6 separate regions of the Mus musculus genome follow, and regions 1, 2, 3, 4 and 5 are each reported to be linked to region 6. Evidence: microRNA targets listed by miRTarBase, many of them from high-throughput screens and not tested one by one. Region 6 holds a microRNA gene; each other region holds the end of a gene's coding sequence.
What was found. Region 6 holds the annotated microRNA mmu-miR-5127 (UCUCCCAACCCUUUUCCCA, at 2,668-2,686, opposite strand). A microRNA usually pairs through its seed, bases 2 to 8, with sites in the 3' UTR of a target mRNA and lowers its output. Matches are read on the target gene's strand: a 7mer-m8 pairs with bases 2 to 8, a 7mer-A1 pairs with bases 2 to 7 and ends in A, and an 8mer does both.

Region 1 (4,088 bases), not on the chromosome of region 6:
GAACAACAATCTGTAGCCCGCATGTTCCACACCAGAGGCCTTTGCACATTCTGGCACACCCTTACCTGTCAAGAGTTCAGCTGCACACTGCTCCCTGTTTCTCTAGCTAATGAGACAATGTGTCTGTCCTTACCGTAGGTTTGGATTTGTGCAAGATAAATATTCTGTCTCCGCTTTTAACTTCCCTGCTGAGAATAAGCCACAGTATATCCATGTCACAGGTGAGGCGCTGTGGGTGGGTGCACGAGGCCCTGCCCGAGCCTTCAGGGTAGGACCACCAGAGCCTGCTGCAGGTGTTCACCACAGCTCCACTCAGGCATGGTCTCTCCCTTCAGGAACGGTGTTCCTTCAGCTGCCGTACTCCAAACGCAAGTTTTCAGGGCAGCAGCGGCGGCGACGGAACTCTACCAGCTCCACCAACCAAAACATGTTCTGTGAGGAGCGGGTTGGCTACAACTGGGCCTACAACACCATGCTGACCAAGACATGGCGCTCTAGTGCCACAGGGGACGAGAAGTTTGCTGATCGGCTGCTGAAGGACTTCACGGATTTCTGCATCAACCGTGACAACCGACTGGTCACGTTCTGGACAAACTGCCTGGAGAAGATGCATGCCAGTGCTCCATGAAGCCAGGCTGCTTCTCTTAAGAGAGGCTGTGGGTATGCTGGAGCTGGCCTTCCGGTCAGGCTCTGGGCAGCAGGTGTCAGGCTGCTCCTATCAGTGAGTGGGGCCACTGCTGATATTTGGCCTCTGCACAAGTGTGAGTGAAGAGAAAGATTGGAAGCAGCTGCTGCCGCTACCGCCAACCAAATCTTGCCAATCCTGTCCCTGAAGCAGGGGGAGGCACAGATTGTCCGTGGGAGTGAGTCAGTGTCTGGGAGTGGGGTAGGCAGCTTCCATTAGGGTCCTTTTCCTTCACCAGCAGTGGGATATTCGGAACAGAACCTCCTGCTTTCTGCCCAAGAGTGTGTGTATGAGGTAAATCTGTGGCATAATGTACCATTGGCTCACACCAGCTGTACATATGTGTACATAGCAGAATCTAATAAAGCCCTCCCTCCCTCCCTCCCTCCCTCCCTCTCTCCCTCCCCCGGTGTCTGTTCCCAGCCTTGTTGGTAGCCAGGCCAGTCAGGTCACCTCAGGTGGCCAGAGGGCTTCAGGACACACTGGTCTTGAGTCTGGCTCTGAGCTGGCTTGATAGGTTTCTTTTTCAAAGTCCTTGGGCAAGAACAAGGATCTTCTGGACAGGACAGGACTACTGAGCAGACAGTACAGTACAGTATAGTAAGAAGCTCTAGGCTTGTCATGTCAGAAATATGCCTCGTTAAGTGGATGGGCCAGCTCAGGGAAGCAGACATCACGGCATTCCCTACACGTCCAGTGAGTGCTTTTCGCTCTAGACTGCTCAGGGAAGGCAAAGACCGAAGACCATGACTACTGCTTCCTCCTATACTAGAGTTAATCACACACCCCATTGATGTACCTTTTTTTTTTAAAGATTTTATTCATGTATTTGGTATATATGATAAATACACTGTAGCTATCTTCAGACACCAGAACAGGGCATCGGATCCCATTACAGATGGTTCTGAGCCACCATGTGCTTGCTGGGATTTGAACTCAGGACCTCTGGGAGAGCAGTCAGTGCTCTTAACCTCTGAGCCATCTCTCCAGCCCCTTGATGTACCTTACCTTCTTTACCTCTCCTGGGCCCTATGTACAACTCCAGGTCCAGCCTTCCTTGTTTCTCTTCTCTCCAGGAAACCTAACTTGTCTCTGGTTCATCCTACTGCACTCTCCTGGGAAACTAGGGTTTTGTTGGGTTTTTGTTTTTTAAAAAAACTACTCCAAGCAGGTACAGCAGCTTCCTGTAATACCAGTGTTTAGGAGACTGAGGTAGGCTGGCCTCCATAGTGTGTACTTAGCAAAGTTGAGCTTTACAATGAGACTGTCTCAGAAAGTCTCACTTTGGGGCTGGAAAGATGACTCAGTTAAGAGCATTTGACTGATCTTACAGAGCACCTGAGTTCAGTGCCAGCGTGAGGTCACTCACAGCCATCCATACCTGGAGTTCCAGGGGACTCCACACCCTCTTCTGACCTTCTTTTGCATCGGGCACACATGTGGTACATATACATATATCCACATATATAATACGTGCAAGCAAAGCACTCACATAAAACAAAAATAAATCTTAAAATCAAACAGACAGCTCCACTCCATTTAGACTTGCCACTTAGAATTCTCTTGACTACCTGACTCCAAAAACCTTCAGTATGGTGCTGGAGATGCAGATCAGAGCCAGCATAGCAGGCACCAGGCTCTGGACTCAATTCACAACACTACAAAAGTAAAACCAAGTATTGTCTTGCCTAGTGGGCTGTTCTCACAGCTGCCTTGGGAGTTGTGCATTCCCTTGAACCAGCTCAAATCTTCTGCGTACACTGTTCCAAGCTGCACTCATCGGGAACTTCTAATCACAGCTATTAAGTCCTGTATGTAAAGGTTTTTTTTTTTTAAAGGTGTGTGTGTGTTGTGTGTGTGTATGGGTGCATCGTTAGGTCAAAAGAGAGGACATCAGATCCCCTGGAACTAGAGTCTAGACGGTCGTGAGCCACCATTTGGGTGCTGGGTTGGGAACCTGGGTCCTCCCAGAGCTCCAAGTGCTCTTACTGGCTGAGCCATGTCCCTAGCTCCTGCATGTGAAGCTTTTGAGAGAGTAAGCTGTTAACGTGTGAAAGTGTGATCCATGGGAAGTAAGCCTAAAAAAAACTTAGCTTCACACACACACATACTTTTCTTCCCATGAATATTGCTCCTCCTTGATGTCAGCCTTCTTGTCAGTGGGAGCTGTCTGGAGTAACTGGGGGGTTGAGGCAGGTACAGCTGGACTTTGTGGAGTGTACCTGTAACCGCAGCACTTGAGAAGACTAAAGGAGAGGGAAGAAGGTTGCTGTGATTTTGAGGTCACTCCAGGACACACACAGTAAGACACTGTCCCAAGCAAATAAGCACACACAAACAAAAAGGATGTTTTCGTTTGAAAGAGCTTAGTACTGAAAAGAGAGTAAATCAAGTTCTCGTTTTCCCAGATGGGTATGTTCAGGGTTCCATGCCAGCCTCCTCTGTGGTCACAGCAGCTGTTGGCCACGCCAGACCGTGTGATCTCGTGTGGTCCTGTTATCCATCCTATGGAGCCATCAATTACCCCTTCACATACAGTTTTTGTCATATTCCAGAGGTAACTTGGAAGACATAGAAAATTACCTGGCAGGAGTTCAACTGATGGAATACCAGGTCACTTGCCTATCAGCTGTCCTGAGATGCTCCTGGCCTTGAGCTCCAGTTCCTGCAGTCTCTAGCATTCCAGATTCCAAGCTCAATAAATAAAGGTGTTTGCCATTGGTGATTTAAGTTCAGCTCCCCAGACCTATATGGTGGAAAGGATCAACTCCAGAAAGTTCTCTGATGGCCACACAGATGTTGTGGTACTCATGTATCCACATATATACATACATGCATAAATTTAATTGAAAAATTTTAAATATTAAGATCTGTTAAAGTTCACTAAAGTGGATAGAAAACAGCCGGAGAGAAGCAGAATAAAGGCCAATTTATTGTTCTCTACAGCCACCTACTTTCTGAGCGCTTACTGTGTGCTAGGCGTGACACATGCCTGAGAAGAGGTAAAGGGAAGGCCTCTGGAGGTGGAGGCCAGGCCATACAGCTGAGAGGAATCCAGGCTGACTGTTTTGTGGGATAGCATGACATGATCATGTGCTGTGCCAATCCTCTTTGCCTTGAACTGCAAATTCCATGTATTCAGACACAGGCATCCTGTAACAGGGCCATAGCTTCCCACACAGAATCCCTGCTAGAGTAGACAGTGACTGCCCAGCCCCCAGGACCCTGCCAGTTTCCCCCATGGGCCTGCAATTGCTGAGTTCAGCCTGCAGAAGCTTCAGGCAGCTCCTAGCCTTAAAACTATAACCACATGCTTGCCCTAAACATAGCCGAGAGTGCTCTCCAATTCTAGCTTTTGCTTGTCCAAGAGCATGTGCCAAGAGTAGGTCTTACAGCCTTCAGA
Region 2 (4,088 bases), not on the chromosome of region 6:
TGGTGCCAAGGCAGGTTGCGTTCCCTCTAAAGAAACTTAAGGACCCTAGGCCTCTGAGGCTACCTGGGGCTCTGAACAGAGCTTTTTTATCTTTTCTTCCTCCTCCCCCCTCCCTCCTCCTCCTTCTCCCTCCTTCTTTTTCCCTCCTCCTCCTCTCTTGTTTTCTTTAATGCCCTGATTTCCCAAAGCCTGGGACCACATATACAGGTTCAAGAGGCACACTCCAGACTCCCTGGCAAGGTATAGTCTCAGCTAGCGAGAGCGAACACCACACTTGAACTCATTAACAGGTGTGAGGATACTGCTGTCCCCCTGGCATGCAGGAGTCCTATTGGCTATTGGACAACTAGGAGAAGAAAAGGCGTGAGGGAAGGATAGCTTAGCTAGCCACGCTGAGCTCTTGGCTAGAGTACGGGCTAGGATGCGCTGGGGAAGGCACGACTTTGTAAGGACTGTTCTGGGGATCATTCCCACTGATGGCTTTTAAAATAAGCTGCAGATGGTACCTCTACGGCTTCCCTGTACTAGGCATTTGGATTCTAAGATCTCAGCTCTGGGAGGACTCAGCACCTCCTACTCCTCAAGTCAGGACTTCACCCAACCAGGATTGGACAGAACACCGAAACACCTCAAAGGTTACCCAAAGGAAGACTTTCCTTATTCCCGAAGACTTCCCTGACCTTGGCTTCATTCTCTCCTGTTCACGGTCAGGCTTCTCATCCCTGCCCCATCGCCTCCCGACTTCCCCACTGTCTGGGTCACCTGCTGCCCTGGATGGCAGAGCCACTCATTTGTACCATCAGATGGCAATGAGCAGTGTGGTGGATGGAACAGAGGGTACCTCCCAGCCCCTGGAGAGGTATTTATAGGCAGCTTCACCCCTAGCAGTCAGGACCATAGCAGGGGCCAGTCCAAAAGCTTCCCCAGCCTGTACAGAAGTCAAGAGGACCCTTGGCAGGAGAGGGACTCTGAGAAGCCATTTGATCTAGCCCTCCTTCCCAAGCCAGTTAAGGTCCAAGTTTCCTCAGCAAGAGGCTTTTTTTTTTTTCTATTTACAAGCTCACGTTGGCGAGTCACCTGCGGTCTCCTTACACCTTAGATAACACTCGAAGCTCCAAAGCTGCTGGCACAGCCTCACCTCCCCACAACAAATGCTACCTGCACAGGGCTAAGGTTTTCCTCTTCTCCAGTCTCCCAGCAGCTTGCCTGCTTTTCATGGACCTTGTTAGAAGAAAAGCTTAGGGGCTGTAGCCTCCCACCTCCCTGACCAGGTTCACTTACCCTGCCCAGACACTAGATACCCATTTCTTTAGCACTCCCCCCACCCCACAAACCCAAGGCAGTGAGAAATAGGTAAACCTTGGAAGGTTTCAGGTGCCCCTTTCCAGGGCTAGCTAGGGTTTTCCAGGGCTAGGCCCGAGCCAAATCCCAGCCAGCATAGGATGGGGAGGGAGGGATGCTGGACCATCTCTGGGGTTCACGGGAGGGAGAATGATCACATGGCTGAGCCCCTAGCACCCTTGTATGTGAGATGCTGGGAGCAGAAGAGGGAGGGTTTAATCAGCTCCAAGGAAGCAGTCCTTAGCTAGGGGAAGGTATGGAGGTGGTAGGGGGAAAGGTACGTGAGTGTGTGGACATCTTTAAAAAATTGTAGTGGGTAAATACTAACATAAACCCGCCCAGGAAAAAAGAGCAGGGCTTAAAGTTTTAAAAACCCATAACAAAATAGAGCTCTAACTGTAAACTACAGAAATGGCCCAAGGAACAGCAGGGCAAGCGCCTCTTGAAACGCCTGCTCTGCTGCTCTCACGGGCTCAGGGCATGGACACTGGCGACTTCTGGTCGGGCTGCACAGAGTCCTGGTCTAGGGAACTCTGTCCTCACTTTGACTTCTTTTCTTGAAATGAAAAGAGAGAGCCTGAGAGGCTTCCAGCCAGCTCTCCCTGCTGAGTTCCCGGCAGAAGCCAGCCTCAGGCCGCTGACTCCTAGCATCTGCCTGTGCCTTGGACTGAGAGCATCCATGTTGATCTTCTCAGCACCCTGAACCTCTTGAAGCAGAGGGCTCATCCTAGAGACCGGGCGGCGACTGCCCAGCACCACACCTCTCTCCTCCACAGAGCCTCCCACAGGTGGGGAGGAGACTCTGGTTCTTGACCAAGCCTTGTCACTTACAGATCATGTGACCCTAAGAAGTCCTTAACCCTTTCTGGACCTCCATTTTCAAGACAGGGTTTCTCTGTATAGCCCTGGCTGTCCTGGAACTCACTTTGTAGACCAGGCTGGCCTCGAACTCAGAAATCCGCCTGCCTCTGTCTCCCAAGTGCTGGGATTAAAGGCGTGCGCCAGCACTGCCCGGCATCGTTTCCTCATCTGTTAAGGGCAAGGTATGGATAAGTCAAGCTATAAGGCTTCTTCAGCTTCTGTAGTCTGGGCTGTCACTGGTAATGTACCCAGAGCTCAAGGCAGGCTGCCTCCACCTCCACCACCTCATTAACTCTTTACTTCCGGGGACCCAAGAGAGTCCAGGCAGTTTGGGGAGCAGGTGTGGCCAGGTGATGGAGGGTATTCCTGGAAGCAGGCAGGGCCACATTGATGCTGACCCTTCTCAGATGCCTCTCCATCCCAGGACAAAGAATGGATGCTGTGTTGAGAGCTGGTTTCCAGGGCCTGCAGTTATGGGAGGAGGAGGCAGGCACAAGTCTGCAGCAGAGCTGAAGGGAAGAGCACGGCATTCAGATGGGCGTCGCCTGCCCCTACCCTGGAGGGTCCATGAAGGGAGCATCCCGATGAGGCAAGGCAACTCGAGACAAGCCCTTTAGTCACATAGCCACCTCAAGTGGCCCTGTCACTCCACCATTCCATCTGGAGGATGGCAGGGATGGCAGTGCTGGCTGAGAGGGCAGTGCCACCGGGGTGGTGAATGGGCTTCAGTCTGGTGCCCCTTTCCATCAGGTGGTGTAGCCTCTCAACCCTTTAGAGCTCTTATCCCCAGTAACCCAGGGCCTTGTTCTTGGCTACTGAGTAAGCAGGACTGCCGGGGAGCCACGAAGCCCACGTGGGGACTAACTGGTGCTTCTCCAGCAAGGACTAGGAAAGGTCCCTCTGCTTCATAGAGGGAAATTGATAGCCCACTGCTGCCCATGTTCCTGCTGGGCCTGGGACTCTCATCCCAGAGAGATGAGAGATGGCAGTGCCCACTTGTGGCCCCAGAGGGCCATCCACTTGATCTGAAGATGTATGTCAAATACCTTCTATCCAAAGGCTTGTTCCTTCTGTCCAGGACCCCAGAGGGTCCAGGCATTAGGTCTAGTATTATCATGGAAGTCACTGCCCAGTGCCTCTTGATTTAAAGAAAAATTCCTTGCCTGGTTCTATCCTGTGGCAGAATAGAAATATCCTACCTCCTACGTAAAGGGTACTGTTGGGAGAAGGTGTCTAAGCCAGCCACTCTCAGGCAGTGTTGGACCACCTTGGCGTTGGAGGGGGGCTGTGGCCAGCCGCTGTGTCTGTTAGGGTGGGTGTCCAGCTTGGGCGTGGCGGGCAGCGTTGAGATCAGAGCCTCTGGCATCCGGCGAGCATCAGTATAACCATGCAGGAGAACACCGGGCCAGGATGGGCAGGGCGGACGGCTGAGCTCTCCACCATCATGCTGGTGCCTGAAACCAGCCAGTGGTAGAAACTGGGTGGCTGAGTGAGCCTCCCAGCCCTGCCCTTACAAAAGAACCCGGAGGCCTCTGGAGGAAAGTCATATGGAGGCCTTAAGAACCGAAGGCTAGTGATGTTCTTAGCCTTACCCATGAAGCACTGACCTTCGTTCTTGGTCCCCATAAAAAAGATGTATTCCCTCCTTACCTTGGGGTGGTTCTAGGGTAGGGAGGGGACAGTGGCATGGCACCATTCATTGCCTGTCTTTCCTTTCTCGTGGGGGAGGGGTGGTGTCTAGGTTAGAGCTGGCTCTTGGGGACAATCCCTTGACCAGTATCTGGTGGACTAATACTGCTGAGGGGCTAGGTAGAAAGGGGGAAGGGAGGGGCAGTACCTCCATTTCTCACAATGTGGACTTCGGCTGGTATCCCATCCCCTCCAGG
Region 3 (4,088 bases), not on the chromosome of region 6:
AATTGTAATTATATGGAATAAAAGATTCCCTGCTACCTTAGAGTGTCCTAGAATGACAATTTTCCATGATGTAAACACACACGCACAGGCACACATTCACATCCTTACACACGTGTACCTATATTGAAATAGGTTCCAATTTCTTAGTGATTATCTTTATTAAAGACAAGAAACCTTGTAGGAAATAACTTATGTTCAAAAACTCTTCACAAATTTAAACAAGAAGAACTGGAGAAAACATTTCAAATAAAATCAGGCATTTTTTAAGAACATGGCTCAAACCTCTGGGCCAGCAAGATGGCTTAGCAGGTAAAAGGCGCTTGCCACCAAGCCTAACAACCGGAGTTCAATACCCAGAATCTACATATAGAAGGAGAGTACTGAGAACAGACGCTCACAAACTGTCCTCTCACCTCCATACTGATACCATGGTACACATGCATGTGCACGCACATAGACATACACACACACTCATACACAAATTAATGTCAGAAAATTTTAAGCAACCACCAAATACGTATCCATAAGACCATTTCACCCAGTGCCCCGTGTACACAAACATTTACCCACATTGGTTTGATGGTCCACGTGTGATTTCAAATGGGAACCTTTTTCTTAATGACAGAACCCAGATTATGTGACAGCGACCTGTTCAAAGGCAGCTTTCTTTGTGGAGTAAGGGATCAAAGACAACATTATGGAGGGGCAGGGAAGGGAGAATGGAAAGCCTGCCTTCAGTTCTAGCCTCACCCTACAGCTCTCTCAGAGGCCTCAGCCTGCTTCTTCACCTCTCTCTGAGCTCCGGTTTTCTCACCACAAATGTGTGTTTTCACAGTTGCATTTAAAAAAGAAAGAAAGGAAAGCTAGTAAAACAGCAAGTTCAGGGTTGAGAGCACACGTGGGCCAGGCAAAACTGACTGCACTCCTGTGTCCCCTAGCAGAGATGTGCAAAGGAGAGCTCCCATCCCATAAAGCGCCATCTGTTGCTTTAAGGACCCATTATGAGAGTTTCCTGCTCAAGTCTAAGCTAAATGACTGGGGCTGGAGAGATGGCTCAGTGGTTAAGAGCACTGACTGCTGTTGTGGAAGACCCAGGTTCTATTCCCAACATCCACATGGCAGCTCACAACCAGCTGTAACTGCAGCTCCAGGCCATTTGGATACCTGTGGCCTCTCATGACACCTGCACACATATGTACATCTATGTGAGTTGTAAGTAAAATGAATACATAAATAAGATATTTAAATTAATGAATAAAAAGACTCAACCTATTCTTTCTTACCACGCCCATATTGTATTCAAAATAAATGTTTTAAAGCTGTTGGCTGGATTGGGGTTGATCATACAGGGCTGAAAATCCTTTCCTACTTCTTCAGTATTTCAATCCCTCTCATGCAGCCATGAGCAGCCTCAGAGAAGAGATACAGATTCAAGTATAAGATGCTTTCTCACTTGAGCCACTTGAGAAGCAACTTTGGAGGAATGGGTTTGGCAGGCAGGCTTTGAAGACTGGTCCTGAAATCATCATGGCCAGGGGCTGGTGAGATGGCTCAGCGGTTAAGAGCTCTGATTGTTCTTCCAGAGGTCCTGAGTTCAAATCCCAGCAACCACATGGTGGCTCACAACCATCTGTAATGAGATCTGATGTCCTCTTCTGGGGCTGTCTGAAGACAGCTACAGTGTACTTAGATATAATAATAAATAAATCTTTGGGCCAGAGCGAGCAGAGGTCCTCAGTTCAATTCCCAGCAACTATATGAAAGCTCACAACCATCTGTACAGCTACAGTGTACTCATATACATAAAATAATATCTATAAAATACATAAAATACTGATTGGGACAAGCCTTTGAGGGGAACCTATTACAAATGACCCCTCACCAAGGATCCTGAAATACTGGTCTTGATGTGCCATTCAGGAATTCTTCCACTTCCTGTATAGACACAGCCATGAGCCCATTGCAAACTGAGGGACAGTGTATCTTACATCTGTCTGCTTTCACAGAAAATGACACTTGGACATAATTACTCTGTATGGTGTTTTAAGTCACGTCTTGTAGTAATTTCCCAGGTAAACCTTTGCTTTCTGAAAGCAGGCAGCAGAGTCCTTGTTGCATGGAGGATGTCTTCTGGTAAAAGGAAATTAAACTTTTCACCATCAGACATATGGTCATTCCTGCATGAGCACACAGGACACAGCTGGTACACCCCAGTCATGTTAGCTGGGCGTGCCTCAGACCTAGTTGTTAAGGTAGGAGACCACCTGCTTCAGATGCAATTTGCCCTACCAACAGAATGAGAAAATTTTCCATTTATAATACTTAATTCTACTCATCTTAAGTAAGAATAACAATGTATCCATAGATAGAGATTTGAAAAGTCATGTTTGTATATTTCTTAATAGTATCACACCATTTATTCTCTCAGAATATATTAAAAATAAATAAAATCTTCTTTCAATAGATGCTGTTAATATTTTCTCTTTTGTTTTCTGAAAACCACCAGTCTAGAGTTTTAAAAATCACAATGACAAATCTAACCAGTGCTATCTCATATGTAATTGGAAACATTTTTTTCATGACTCACTTTGGAAAGGATATTTCAAAAACTGTATTGAAGAAAAAATGACTCTTTTAATTCTGGGTTTAACATGGCAATATTGCAATTAGTGATCTGACTACCACAGGTAACCATGCATACCAAACTGTAACACAGAGAAACTGCAAAGTGATTCTTAAGAGCAGTCACTACTGCTGAAAGGAAAGAAAGGAGTTCGCGCCTCTGTTACTGGTCACTTATTACTGAATTCCTAGAAATAAACACAAGCCCTTCCAAATGTAATTATATAAACTATTTTGGTTATATGGCAAAGCTCCTATCCTGTTAGATACATACAGAATGGAAGATCTACCTTGATTAAAAAAAAAAAAGTATTTCCTTCAGAAAAAGTATTTCCTTCTCCAGTTTCCTTTAAAACTTTGATTTATTTTCAAGCCTAGGTTAAAAAATCCCGAGACTTTTGTATAATTTCATGGCCACATGAGGTCCCATTACACCCTCCAAACAAACAAACAAGCAAACAAACAAACAAATCCTAACTCCCAAACCAAACAACAGAATGCTGAGCCGAGAAGTCGAGTTTTGTTTTGTTTTTTTTTTAAAAAACACTGGTAAGATGATTTCCACTGTCAATACGTGTCTAAAAGATGTCATTGCTTCTGCTTGTGAGATCCAGTGCAAAGAATTTAAGGAAGGAAATCACTGGCCGCCCTGGGAGGTGGGAGCGCTTGGTAGAGGCAGCGTCCTATGAGGAGAAGGCTGCTACACATCGCTGGGAGACCGAGCTCTCTGAGACAGCGAGGAAGGGATGCACCCACAGCAAATGAGGCAGAGGGCTTTCTGGATCTCTTGGTTTCTGAAAGCGTAAATGACAGGGTTGATGATGGAATTGTAGGTGGCGGGCAGGAGGGTGGCATAGGTATAGATCGAAGGGTAGGTGTAATCGGCGATCAAGGAATAGAGGGTGAAAGGCATCCAGCAGGCAGCAAAGGTCCCTAGGATGAGAGCCAGGGTCGAGACCCCTTTCCGGGTAGTCACATAGTGCGATGTAGCCAGGAAGTGGTGCTGCAGGGCTATCTGATGGGCGTGCCTCATCACAATCTTACAAATCTGGATGTAGAGCTGAAGCATCAGAGCAAACATGAAGAGGAAGGAGATGGAGAGGATGGCAGCGTTGTTCTTAGTGAGAGGTCTGACCACGCTGCAGGTGGACTCGTCCCTCAAGCAGTTCCAGCCCATGACGGGCAGCAGCCCCAGGCAGATGGAGGTTCCCCAGAGCATCACTAGCATGACATAGGTAAAGGTGACGGTCCTCTCGGAGTGGTACGTCAGGGCGTAATATAGCGAGAGGTAGCGGTCCACAGTAATAGCCAGCAAACTGCAGACAGAGGCAGAGAAAGAGGCGACAATGAGTCCGATGGTGACCAGCTTGGTGGCTTCTGACTGAAGCAGGTACGCAAAAACAAAATTGATGATGAGTCCCAGGCCAGCCAGCAGGTCTGCAAGAGCCAGGCTGCCTATCAGTAGG
Region 4 (4,088 bases), not on the chromosome of region 6:
TATGCATGCCTTTGCTCTCTCTGCTAATTTAGAAGCAAGTCCTTATCATCATTACATGTAAAGTAGAACACACTGAGAGGAATGCCATGTGTGGAACACTGAATTAGTCACTGCCAGACTCTGCCCCACACAGCAAGCCAGTCTCCGATGCTAAAGAGATGATAAAACCCAATGATTAAAACATCCAGGTTTACATTTGAAATGTAAATAAAGAAAATATCCAATTTAAAACAAAAATCCAGGTTTTTTAGGCAGGGATGGAGAAGCTCTTTGTTCAGTGACAAAACTTTGTACTCTGACACAGTGGCTTTCAAAAGTATTCAGTCTACAGACGCTCATGTTTGAGTGCGGGGGTACTTGAAGAAAAGGTTTTAATAAATACACAAATGCTCGCCATGACACTGTTACGGGAAAGACCTTACAGTAGCCTAAGATTTCTTTAATGAGTTGCTGAACAACTGGTGAAGGGTATTCTGGGAAGTGATAGCTTAAGCAGACACTTAAAATGCAACAGAATGCGTATATCACCATGAAAAGATGACCACAACATACCAATTCAAGGGGGAGCTGTTTAAGGGTGGCAGGCTTACCCTCGAGGGGAAATAGTTACTGAAATATTGGTGACGGCAGCTTCCAGAAAGTTAGACGGGCTATTTATCTAACTCGACTTATTTCTACAGAACTTTGATCTCGTTTTTGAAAGGAAAAGAAACTATTTTTAAAATTTAGAAGTTAACAAATTCTGACTTTCAAGATCATTTTTATTTTGAAATGGTTAGCTGTAGCTCTGCTTTGCCCTGGTGACCAGAGTGCTGGTCACACCGCTGGTAGCTACTGAGCATCCCAAGGGAACACATGGGTGAGGACATAGGGACTAAAGAATAGTTCTCAATGAGTGTTCGCCTGATTCAGCTAATTCAGAGGCTCAACCTCCTTAGCTGCATTCACATGAGATGCTCAGTTACACAGGAACCTGATGGAATGCTATTTTCTCCTGGAGAATTCCTTTCTTACAAATCGGGAAGTTCTTCGTGACTGAAAGCTGGAGTCCTGCAGGGCTGACTAAATCCAGGAGGCTCTACACCCTGGTTTAAGGAAGCCCTGGGGTCTAAGACTTGCCTCAGATCCAGCATCAACACAAAGGCATGGTGGGATCCTTGGGACCACTTCTTTCTAAACCTCAGCTTTTTCATAAAATTGGAATCACTTTGGGTACCTTCAAGAAGGTACTTGTTGCTGAAATACCAGTACTTGGGAGGTTGAGGCAGGGGGATTGTGAACTCAAGGCCAGGGTGGTATACACAGAGAGTGGCTATCCCAAAAAGACCTCCCAAAAGATGTTCATTGTATACCGAAATGTATGGTATAGAGTGCTCAGTACATAGAGCTATGTGTTTTTATAGATCTTTTTGATTATGTATTTGGTAGAAATAGGGAGGGACTTGATACTAGCAGCAGAGAGGTTGTGAGTGCCACACACACATGCACACATACAGATTAAAGACTGCATGCTTCAGGAGCCCATCTCAGCTTCCCTTACAAACAATTGAGGACACTCTCCAATGCGAGGCAGGAGAATGATCTCCTAACAGGAGTGTGCTGGTGTCACAGCAGAGACGGTCTTATAAAAGCGTGTGAGTGCCTGTTCACACCTCTTTGGGACTTGAAACAGGTCCTTCTGCAGCTGCTCTCAAAGCCACCTACCCCTACCCCGCTTCTCGAAGCATCCTAAGATCCAGACAGCTGTGAGGAGAGGCATACGTTTGCTCCAGCCATTCTGTCGTTGTTAGGGTTCGAGTCTCCTTGTCAGTCTGTATTTGACTTTATGTTCTTCCTCATGAAGGAAAACATGAATCCTAAGTGCATTCAGCTTAAACCCTACATCTTAAATGTATTCAGAGAGGTATGGGTGAGCACGATGCCCATGTGTATTTTCCATATGCATTCCCTATACCAGGTAAAACTCAGCAGAGAATGTAAGGAGCTAGGGTCTGATGCTGACACAGGTGCTGCTCCACTGCAGGAACTCCGTGACTTACTTATAAAGTGGCCCTGAGTGAAGGTTCTTGCACCGTGTTCTTGGGAGCTCTATGCTTGCCTAAGTGATGCTGCGCTGCTTTGCTTGGCTCCTGGCCTCCATCCTTTTACAAGCGCTCCAGCAGTGTTTAAACAAATACCTTTCTCCTGTCAGCTCTCTTTAGATGCTCCTACTGGCTCATGGCACCTAAGCATGGCCATGAGCCAGTGTCTCTAGTCTAGAAAATACAAAGCCCACTGAAAAGTCACAGAGCAGTGTCCTGCTTGGTATCTAAGGGTGGTGGTGGTGGTGGTGGTGGTGGGGTTGGGGCCGCAGAAGGAAGAGAGTGGGTCATGACTCTGAGGTGTCCTCTGGACTGCTGTGGAATGCACAGCTGTGGACCCAGCTGCATCAACAGACTGTAGATACTCTGCTGGGCTGCAATCTCCCTCTGTGGGGACAGTAGGGAGCAGGGCAAAGGCGCCTGGACACGGAATCAGAAGATAAGGTGTGAGTCTCATCCCTGGGATGGGCTGCTCTGTCTCTCTGAACCACTGTTTCTCCAGCTGAAGCCATGAGTAGAACTGCCCTGTAGATCAGCTCAAAATCTATGCTGTTTGGTTTAAGTAAGGTGAGGTTTGAAAGCATTTTTTTTTTTTTTTTTTTCGAGACAGGGTTTCTCTGTGTAGCCCTGGCTGTCCTGGAACTCACTTTGTAGGCCAGGCTGGCCTCGAACTCAGAAATCCGCCTGCCTCTACCTCCCAAGTGCTGGGATTAAAGGCGTGCACCACCACTGCCCGGCTTGAAAGCACTTTATAAATGATAGATGTCTCCTAATAATATAAGTTAGGTGGTGTCCTATTTGGTACAAGTTGTAGTCAGCAGCTAGTGGGACAGCTGTGAGGCAGCCTCCCCTCGCTTTCTCAGAACATTTTTCCTAAGCTGTGGGTTGGGAGGGAGAGTTATAAAAAGGAGTTTGCTATGTTCGTATAACTTTTCAATATGAAGTGTTGATATACAAACCATTGTATCTCATACCAAACAATGAGCTAACATACTGAGTTATAAAGATCTAATTATAAAGAGGTTTATGCATGTAAAATCTGACTATAAATGACTTCAATAAATGCAACTAGATTATTTCCAAAAAAACTACTGTAGTGGCAACTGATCTTTAACATGTACACGAAAATACCACACTTGCGACTTGACACCCTGCCTGGTGCACGTGCTGGATTCCTGTGTCTCGGGGTGTGGTGGCTTGTGTCTGGTTGTGGACATGGACTGAGAAGCCAGAGGACTCTGCTGCTCCATTTCCCATGGAAACCCATCAGCTTTTCGGGTCTGTTAGCTCTCTGGGACAGTCCTCTTCACTCTCCTCTGCACAGGACAGGTTCAGGGCGCTCATCACGGGGTGGATCCAGGACGTGGTCTGTGTCACGTGGCTTGGGAAGAACAAGGGGTGCAGATTAGCATGTGAACAGCTCTCTTTCTACGTAACGGAACACGTATTGATTCTGGGGACTACCTGCTTCGACCCAGTTGTTGGCCCCTGGGACAGGAAGCAATTAGAACCAGATCCAGTAGTGTTAAGAAGGCTTGGAGAGGTTTTAGGGTCTTTTATAACCATGAATGAAGATGAACATATCACCTCAAACTCCTGTTTCCTCATCTGAAGGACACTGTCTGTGAGTATGTCTGTGGCTGTGTAGCTGTGTGCAACACCTCTGGAGTTTGTCTGCTGCCCTCCTTTCCAGTGTTCATTCCCCACTCCACTCCAAAGACCAGGCCAAACGACAAAGCATACACTGTCATTTACTTGAGAAATACTCGGCTCTACTCAATTCTGGGTCAAGAAAAATTCTACAGTATGATTCTGGAGGGCATTTCTCTTCCCTAGTGAGTCAGGGCACACTTACTCCAAAGAAGAAATTTCTCCATATGAGTCCTTCCATCTGAACCCATACGATCTCTAATTTAACTACTGCTTCCCTTATAATGTTACCCGGATGGGGAGAGCAGGAAGCAAGAAAACCAAGTTTTGCAAGTGATATTCTTGTTCTTGAAATAT
Region 5 (4,088 bases), not on the chromosome of region 6:
TACCACCACAAGGGAGGCATATGCTGAACACAGAGGCTTTTACAATTCTAATTACTCTAAGTCTATGTGACTATCATGTTGGCCAAAGAGCTGGTGTAATCATAGCTTGTACTATAGAAAATATATTCAGGAAATATGATACAATTTTTATATTCCAGCCAAAAAATAGAACTTCAGCAGCATGCTTTTCCAGCCCCAACACACACACACACACACACACACACACACACACATACACACACACACACACACACCTTGGCTAATAAGCACATAAAATCAATTTTATAAAATATTAAAGGGTACTGAAAAGATGGTTCCTAAGTTTAGAGCACTTGACGCTCTTAAAGAGGAACCCACAAGATAGCTAATAACCATTTGTAACTCCAGTTACAGGGGATCCAACATTGTCTTCTGGTCTTTTTGGGCACCCAGCATGCATGTGGTGCACAGACATACATGGCATGCAGGAAAAATACCCTTATGCATAAAAGAAAAATATTGCTGGAAATGCTATTGTATTCTATGTAACAGTGTATGAACAATGCAACTAATATTAAAAATAATTGACTACTAGATGATTTGAGATGTATTTCTATAAATCCAGCGTGAAATATTTCTGTCCTCTAGCACTTCAATCATTAGAACGTTCTGTATATGCTTTGTCCTGGCTACTTTTATGTCAATTTGACACAAGCTAGAGTCATCTGAAAGGAGGGAAACTTGATTGAGGAAATGCCTCCATGAGATCCAGCTGTAAGGCATGTTTTTCTTAATTAGTGATCAATAGAGAAGAGTCCAGTCCCTTGTGGGTGATGTCACCCCTGGTAGTCCCGGGTTCTATAAGAAAGCAGGGTGAGCAAGCCAGGGCAAGCAAGGCAGTAATCGGCACCATCCATGGTCTCTGCATGAGCTCCTGCATCCAAGCCTGCTTGAGTTCCTGCCCTGACATCCTTCAATGATGAGCAGTGTGTGGAAGAGTAAACCAAACAAACCCTCTTTCTCCCCAAGGTTCTTTGCTCATGGTGCTTCCTCACAGCAGTAATAACCCTGAGACATACTCCCTATACAATCCCAAACTCTATGGTAAAGCATCTGACTTGGAAAAATGCAAAAGAACTTCTAGAAACAGTAAGCTCTTCTTTTCTTGTGATTACAAAATATAGCTTCTTTTTTATTCTTTTAAAGTTTTATTTAGATCAGGCAGTGGCGGCGCATACCTTTAATGTCAGCACTTGGGAGGCAGAGGCAGGTGGATTTCTGAGTTCTAGGCCAGCCTGGTCTACAGAGTGAGTTTCCAGAACAGCCAGGGCTATCCAGAGAAACCCTGTCTTGAACCGTCCCCCAAAGTTTTATTTATTATTGTGTGCATTTATAATGTGTATGTGGTTGTATGTATGGGATGAAAGATGCTTGGTCAGACAGCAATTTGGTGGGGTTAGTTATGTGAGCTCTGGGGATCAAGCTCAGGTCTTTAGGTTCACATGGCAAGTGTCTTTACCCACTGAGCCAGCCCATGACTACCAAATGTATTTTCTATACAGTAAATTGATAATAAGTAGACATATCATATGCTAGTAATAGCAACTAAAGATTAGTATAAACATACTCATTGAGAAGTATGAATACAAAAATTCACACCCAAGTTTTGAAACAAAATATACCTAAAACTATGGCCAGCATTCAGCTCGGACTTGCTGGTCTGGGCTCCCACAGACGTTTTCTGAGAAGCCTGGGCTTTGTGTGGTAAGTAGCACCACCATTGGTAGTTTTTAACAGTTTGACTGTAATCCCTACTTGTGATTCTACACAGCTATGAACACTGGAAGAGAGCTGAAGCTGAGCGGAGTGGCGCACACTTGCAATGCTAGCAGTTGGGATGTGGAAGCAGGAGGACCTGAAGCTTCAAAGCAGCTCCTGCTACACAGCACCTTCTAATACAGCCTGAGCTAAAGGATACCTTGTTTCACAAATAAAAAGGATAGCCAAGGAAGGCAAATATAATCGTTGAGTGTGGTGCCTTGTACACTTGAGAGACTGAGACAAAAGTTTAACTATGAGTTCCAGGCCAGCCTGGACTACAGAGTGGGACACTGTCTCAAAACACACACACATACACAATTTCAGATATAAAAACACAATTACTAACAGATTGCTATAAGTGCAACTTGCATGTTCTGTTAATATTCCAATGACACATATTATTATCAGTCAAAGAGCAAATATAATGAAAGCTGGCCTTGGTGGCACAAGCCTTTATTCCCAGCACTTGGGAGGCAAAGACAGACAGACTTCTGTGAGTTCAAGTCTAGACTGGTTTACATAGTGATTTCCAGGACAGCCAGGGCTACACAGATGAGACCTTCTCTTTTAAAAAAGACATGAAATACTCTAAAACCAGGAAGTTTACACCTAAACTTTGAGAGCCATTCACCTCCAAATGATGGTAGCTAAGAACTTGACCAACAATGAAAGGTGAGACAATTCACCAGTTTGAACAAAAGGGGGGCATTTTAAAATCAAATTCACAAGAACCTCTTGTTGTGAGCTAAGCTCCTGAATTAGACCCAAACAGAAAAATCAAGATCAGGCACTCATATTAAGCCCCCATTTAACCAAAAGGAAACTAAATTGTCTTTCTGACTGTCTGAGAAATAGATTAGAGAGATTTAACAGTTAATGAAGATTCCTCTGCCTTTTTTTTTTCTTTTTCCCCGAGATAGGGTTTCTCTGTGTAGCCCTGGCTGTCCTGGAACTCACTTTGTAGACCAGGCTGGCCTCGAACTCAGAAATCCACCTGTCTCTGCCTCCCAAGTGCTGGGATTAAAGCCGTGCGCCACCACTGCCTGGCAGATTCCTCTGCCTTAACGCTGTCATAAGAAAGGGTGACCTCTGGACTGGAGAGATGGCTCAGCAGTTAAGAGCACTGACTGCTCTTCTGAAAGTCCTGAGTTCAATTCCCAGCAACCGTGGCTCACAACCATCCATAATGAGACCTGACACCCTCTTCTGGTGTGTCTAAAGACAGCTACATCATACTTACATATAATAATAAGTAAATCTGCTGAGCGTGGTGGCGCACGCCTTTAATCCCAGCACTTGGGAGGCAGAGACAGGTGGATTTCTGAGTTCGAGGCCAGCCTGGTCTACAAAGTGAGTTCCAGGCTAGCCAAGACTACACAGAGAAACCCTGTCTCAAAAAAAAAAAAGAAAGAAAGAAAGAAAGAAAGAAAGAAAGAAGAAAGAAAGAAAGAAAGAAAGAAAGAAAGAAAGAAAGAAAGAAAGAAAGAAAGAAAGGGTGACCTCAGATTGACGTTATTTGGGTACAGGTTTTTGTTTTTCTTCGTTTGTCTCCCGGTCTTTGCTTTACAAGAGTAGGAATTTTGAAATGTTACCCAAAAAAGGAAGAAAAAAATAGAAATGTATACATATAAGTATTATTAAATGCTGTGTTTTAAAATAATCTAGTTAAAATTTTAAGCTAATAGTCATTAAAACAAGATGCTGCTGAAGAATGCTGTCTTAGGGGGTGACTTCGCTGGCTGTTGGCTTGGGCTTCACTTGTATATTGAGCACATAGTCATGGCGGAAGGATGAGCGGACTGTGCGATTCATCAGCGGCTGAAGAGGGCGGAAGTTGTCCACCATTCTTTTCTCTTTCTCTCCCTCAGAAGTGAAAAGCAGGGTCCGAAACTGCTCAAGCTAGAAACAAAACATTACGAATATCAATCAGAAACAAGCTTTAGTATATGGATAAATTACTTTCTTTTTTGTTTGTTTGTTTGTTTGTCATGAGTCTCACTGTGTAACCCTTAGAACTCATTATATAGACCAGGTTGGCTTCCAACTCCTGGAGAGCCACCCCCTTCTGTTTCCTAAATAACGGGATTATAGATATGCACCACACCACACTTGGTTTGCTTTCATTTCTATAATTCTACAATCCTTTGTCTCAAATTGGATTCAGAAAGAGAACTTATTTCTGAGAATGCTCTCTTCACCCCTTGATAAGGGGTTAAATGCCATGTTGCTGGCATGGTTGTGTGACAGCAGCAGGAAGTGGTCAAAAGCCAAGCTTTTAGAATCTGAAG
Region 6 (4,088 bases):
GGCACATTCTATTCTTCATTCTAACTTTGTTACATCTTTCTGGCAAAACAACCAAAACCATTTACTTAAACTTTCTTCCTAAAATCATTTGAATCAAATCAGGAATTCTATAAAGTCCTTAATTCATTTAAACAGCATTTATTCATGAAAGTTCATGTTGATCTGCAGGAAACTTACCCAACAGGAAGAGATCACAGCAGGCTATAGGCAGTGCTTTCAGGATTCTCTTAGCAGATAACAATGTGCTTAGTATCTGATAATGAGGCAGACACACAGCTACTGGGCAAGAGGGGCAGCCATGTTCTTTAGAGAACCAGCACTCAGCTTAATTACAATGAGAACTGAAGTTCCCAGAAAGTCACCCACTCCCCACGCTCCATACCAGACTGGAATCATTGGCAGATTTGAGCTTTGTGGAGAGTTGGAATATTACAGATGATCTTGAAATATCATCAGCTATGTTATTAGCCATGCATTGTCCATCTCATGTTTCACTAACAGCCTTGCAGCTGCCACTTTACGTCTTGGAAATGTCAGAAGCTCTACCAACCCAAAAGCTATGACTGTCCTCAGAGAACACCTGAGACCTGTAACAGGAACTGTCCTCATTTCTGTAACCTCTACCTGATGTTCCCATCAACAGGTTTGAAAGGATAGATGCTTGTTGTTCTGTAGCTATGGAAACCCCAATCTGTACTTTGGGAGTACAGCCACTGCTTATTGGGCACAAAAACCTGTTGCCTTTGCAGTGGGAGCAATATGAGTCAACACAAAGAAGAAAGCTGGTGAGAGATGATATTCAGAAAGACGCTAATGACACCCAGACTTCTGGAGAAGCCATAATCATCCTTCCTAGGTGGCAGCTCTCTGGGTAGCTAAGGATAGCTCTGTCATGTTCTCACCTTCTGGCATTGCTCCTTCCATAACATTCTGACAGCAACTGTTGGGCGTGCTGTGATCCAGGGCCCTCGGTGTATGGAACAGCCGATGTGTGGATGGTTCACCTCCGAAGGAAGTAGATGAGATTACTCACTGTTTAGGCTGAGTTTCCATCAACCCAAGCAAGGCTTTGTGTGTTCGGGTTGTACATGGGCTTCCAGGATATATAGCCAAGTCCCCAGCCTCCTAAGACTTCAGGACATATCTCATTTTTAGATGTGGTCCAAATTAGTTAGTAAGGCTTTATTAATCCCCCCTCTCTCTGTGTGTGTACATGTGTGTGTACATCTGAATAGGTACTCTCTCCTGTGTACTTACAGGGGCCAGAGGAAGACAGTGGGTGTCCTGCTCTATCACTTTTGACTGTTTTCCTTTGACAAGGTTTTGCACTGAACCTGGAGCTGGGCAGGTTCAGTGCAATCCTCCTGTCTCTTCCCACGTGCTCTCTGCCCAGTGCTGGGGTTTCAGGTACACATGGACATCCTGATTTTTTCTTTCACAAGGAAGTTGGGGTCAGAGTTCAGATCTTCATACTCACTACTACTGAGCCATCTCCTCAGCCCCAGTTCACTAACTATTTCTTAGTGGACACTCTCTCTGTGAGTTGTCGTGTAGTTTTGAGGTGTCTATGAACAGAAATAAGAAAACGACACTGACTCTAAAGACATAGTCCTTGTCTGTGATCACAGTAGTCATGCTTGGGCAGGGAGAGAGAGAGAGAGAGAGAGAGAGAGAGACTTTTTCATTTCTATATCAGAGGATTTTATGCTTCTGCCTATTTATTGAGGTGGAAGCTTTATGTATACCCATGCAATGTTTTGTAAGAAGTGAAAACTAGGGAACACTGCAGTGTTAGAAGAAAGTCATGGGTATGTGCATGGCTGGCTGGCTGTATAGTCCAGGCATAGACAGACAACAGGAGTAATTAGTTTCTGCAGATTCTTATATTGCTCCATTATGATGTATAGTTAGCTTGGGGATTATACCAAGCCTAAACAAATATTTTTCTTCTTTATGGTTTTTAAAATCTGGATTAAGTGTATATTATTTCCTGGAGCAAAGCTGCCCAGGAGGCCTAACACATGCTGCCCAGCTGCACCTTAACACCATGATGGAGACCTCATTCCCTTGGTTTTCTTTACAGACTTGCATAAACACTCCTTCTCTCAAACCTGTCTAGTTAGTAAAAAATCCTTCCATTCTTATATTTACCTAAAAGCAACTCATGTTGTGCTTATGGGCTTATAAAACAGTTAACGATTAAAGCTAACTCTGTATTCATAGTTAAAAGCAAATATCTTAACTGAGCTGGACTTAGAGTTAGAGACACAGATGCCAGGCTGGCACAGAAGCTCCCAATCAGGATAATACAGACAGTCAGGTTTGGACAGCCCTGTATAACGGCAGAAATAGCTATCCTCCTTGCAGATTTGGGACAAGACACCAGGAGCTGGTGATCCAGCAGTGACAGGTACTCTCCTCCATCCAGGACACACTCTGCCCCAGGAGGATGCCACTGCTGCTAGCCACACCCACAGAGCATTTGAAAAGTTTCATGGACCAAGGACTCAGATTAATGCTATCCATGTGCACAAAAGAAACATCGGAGGGAGCCAAAATTGTTCCCTCAACTTGAGCCCTCAACTCAAAGACATTTCCATGATTGCCAACGCTCCCTGCACATAGTGTGGAGCACTAGCTCTACAAAGGACAAAGATCCCTCTCTCCTGGGAAAAGGGTTGGGAGAAATGTCACCATATGTCACCACATTTCACCAAGTAGAGAAAGCAACACAGCCAGGCAGGAACACAAAATCTCAGTACATAGGGGTGCTGAGGCCTCTGTTGACCTTAGGGGGTGTCTCAGTCAGGGTTTCTATTCCTGCACAAAACACCATGACCAAGAAGCAAGTTGGGGAGCAAAGGGTTTATTCAGCTTACACTTCCACATTGCTGTTCATCATCAAAGGGAGTCAGGATAGGAACTCACACAGGGCAGGAACCTGGAGGTAGGAGTTGATGCAGAGACCATGCTTACTGGCTTGCTTACTCTGGCTTGCTCAGCTTGCTTTCTTATAGAACCCAGGACTACCAGCCCAGGGATGACACCACCCACAGTGGGCCTTCCCCCCTTCATCACTAATTGAGAAAATGCCTTACACTGGATCTCATGGTAGCATTTTCTCAAGGGAGGCTCCTTTCTCTGTGATAACTCCAGCTTGTGTCAAGTTGACACACAGACCCAGCCAGTACGAGGGGAAAATGATGACATCCCAGAGTGCTGTTCATCTGATGGAACTCAAATGCACAGGTGGTTAGATAACCTGTGCATCAAGTAGATTGTTTCTGGAATGAACTAAGACTTATTCTCTGGGCTGGCAAATGGGCAGTGCCTTCCACAGTGCCTCCATACAAGGAGGGTTGAAAGAAAGCTGTTCTGCCTTTATGCCTGGCTTGTGAGTCTATCAACATTGTTGCTACAGTCATCCCTGGCTTGAGTGTATCAACACTGTTGCTACTGTTATGCCTGTTTTGTGAATGCATCGACATTGTTGCTGGTGTCATGTCTGGCTTATGAGTGTATCAACATTGTTGCTACTATTATGCCTGGCTTGTGAGTGTATCAACATTGTTGCCACTGTTATGCCTGGCTTGTGAGTGTATCAACATCGTTGCTATTATGCCTGGCTTGAGCGTGTATCAACATTGTTGCTACTGTTATGCCTGGCTTGTGAGTGTATCAACATTGTTGCCACTGTTATGCCTGGCTTGTGAGTGTATCAACATTGTTGCTACTGTTATGCCTGGCTTGTGAGAGTATCAACATTGTTGCTACTGTTATGCCTGGCTTGTGAGTGTATCACATTGTTGCTACTGTTATGCCTGGCTTGTGAGTTTATCAACATTGTTGCTACTGCTATGCCTGGCTTGTGAGTGTATCAACATTGTTGCTACTGCTGCTGGCACTGTGATCCCACACTGATGTCAGAATCCACTTTCTACAACCTTCCAAGTAGACTGAAAGCAAGCATCCCTCTAGGAATCCTTCAGGTATTCAGTATCTGATTAGGACTGTAAAGGCAACTGGCCCCTTGAACTGAACAGCCCCTGGGGGCTCAGTCCTGCTAGCATGTGGATATCCACTGTGAG

Region 1: miRTarBase lists Depdc5 as a target of mmu-miR-5127. Seed matches in the 3' UTR shown: 7mer-A1 at 1,632-1,638 and 7mer-m8 at 2,399-2,405.
Region 2: the mRNA of Cntn2 is a reported target of mmu-miR-5127. Seed matches in the 3' UTR shown: 8mer at 2,313-2,320 and 7mer-A1 at 1,191-1,197.
Region 3: miRTarBase lists Gpr12 as a target of mmu-miR-5127. Seed matches in the 3' UTR shown: 7mer-m8 at 3,100-3,106.
Region 4: miRTarBase lists Stxbp4 as a target of mmu-miR-5127. Seed matches in the 3' UTR shown: 7mer-m8 at 2,776-2,782 and 7mer-m8 at 1,328-1,334.
Region 5: the mRNA of Car5b is a reported target of mmu-miR-5127. Seed matches in the 3' UTR shown: 7mer-m8 at 2,805-2,811.

The regions. Positions count from the first base shown.
Region 1 is chr5:32,990,604-32,994,691 of GRCm38, forward strand. It overlaps Depdc5 (DEP domain containing 5), which reads left to right. Exons shown (of 43, transcript NM_001170567.1): 42 at 139-221; 43 at 336-3,630. The coding sequence ends at 628. Among named protein-coding and RNA genes, the nearest start is that of Ywhah, 26 kb to the right of the region's middle.
Region 2 is chr1:132,511,982-132,516,069 of GRCm38, forward strand. It overlaps Cntn2 (contactin 2), which reads right to left. Exons shown (of 23, transcript NM_177129.5): 22 at 4,040-4,088; 23 at 1-3,656. The coding sequence ends at 3,553. Among named protein-coding and RNA genes, the nearest start is that of Tmem81, 7.8 kb to the left of the region's middle.
Region 3 is chr5:146,579,784-146,583,871 of GRCm38, forward strand. Gpr12 (G-protein coupled receptor 12) reads right to left here. Exons shown (of 2, transcript NM_001359056.1): 2 at 2,367-4,088. The coding sequence ends at 3,323. Among named protein-coding and RNA genes, the nearest start is that of Gpr12, 3.4 kb to the right of the region's middle.
Region 4 is chr11:90,477,253-90,481,340 of GRCm38, forward strand. Stxbp4 (syntaxin binding protein 4) reads right to left here. Exons shown (of 18, transcript NM_011505.2): 18 at 1-3,462. The coding sequence ends at 3,348. Among named protein-coding and RNA genes, the nearest start is that of Gm34850, 6.4 kb to the left of the region's middle.
Region 5 is chrX:163,975,672-163,979,759 of GRCm38, forward strand. It overlaps Car5b (carbonic anhydrase 5b, mitochondrial), which reads right to left. Exons shown (of 8, transcript NM_181315.4): 8 at 1,151-3,699. The coding sequence ends at 3,520. It overlaps Gm38561 (a long non-coding RNA gene), which reads left to right. Exons shown (of 4, transcript XR_878297.3): 2 at 1-1,128. Among named protein-coding and RNA genes, the nearest start is that of Gm38561, 19 kb to the left of the region's middle.
Region 6 is chr18:81,989,353-81,993,440 of GRCm38, forward strand. It overlaps Mir5127 (microRNA 5127), which reads right to left and starts at 2,728; the gene lies at 2,658-2,728.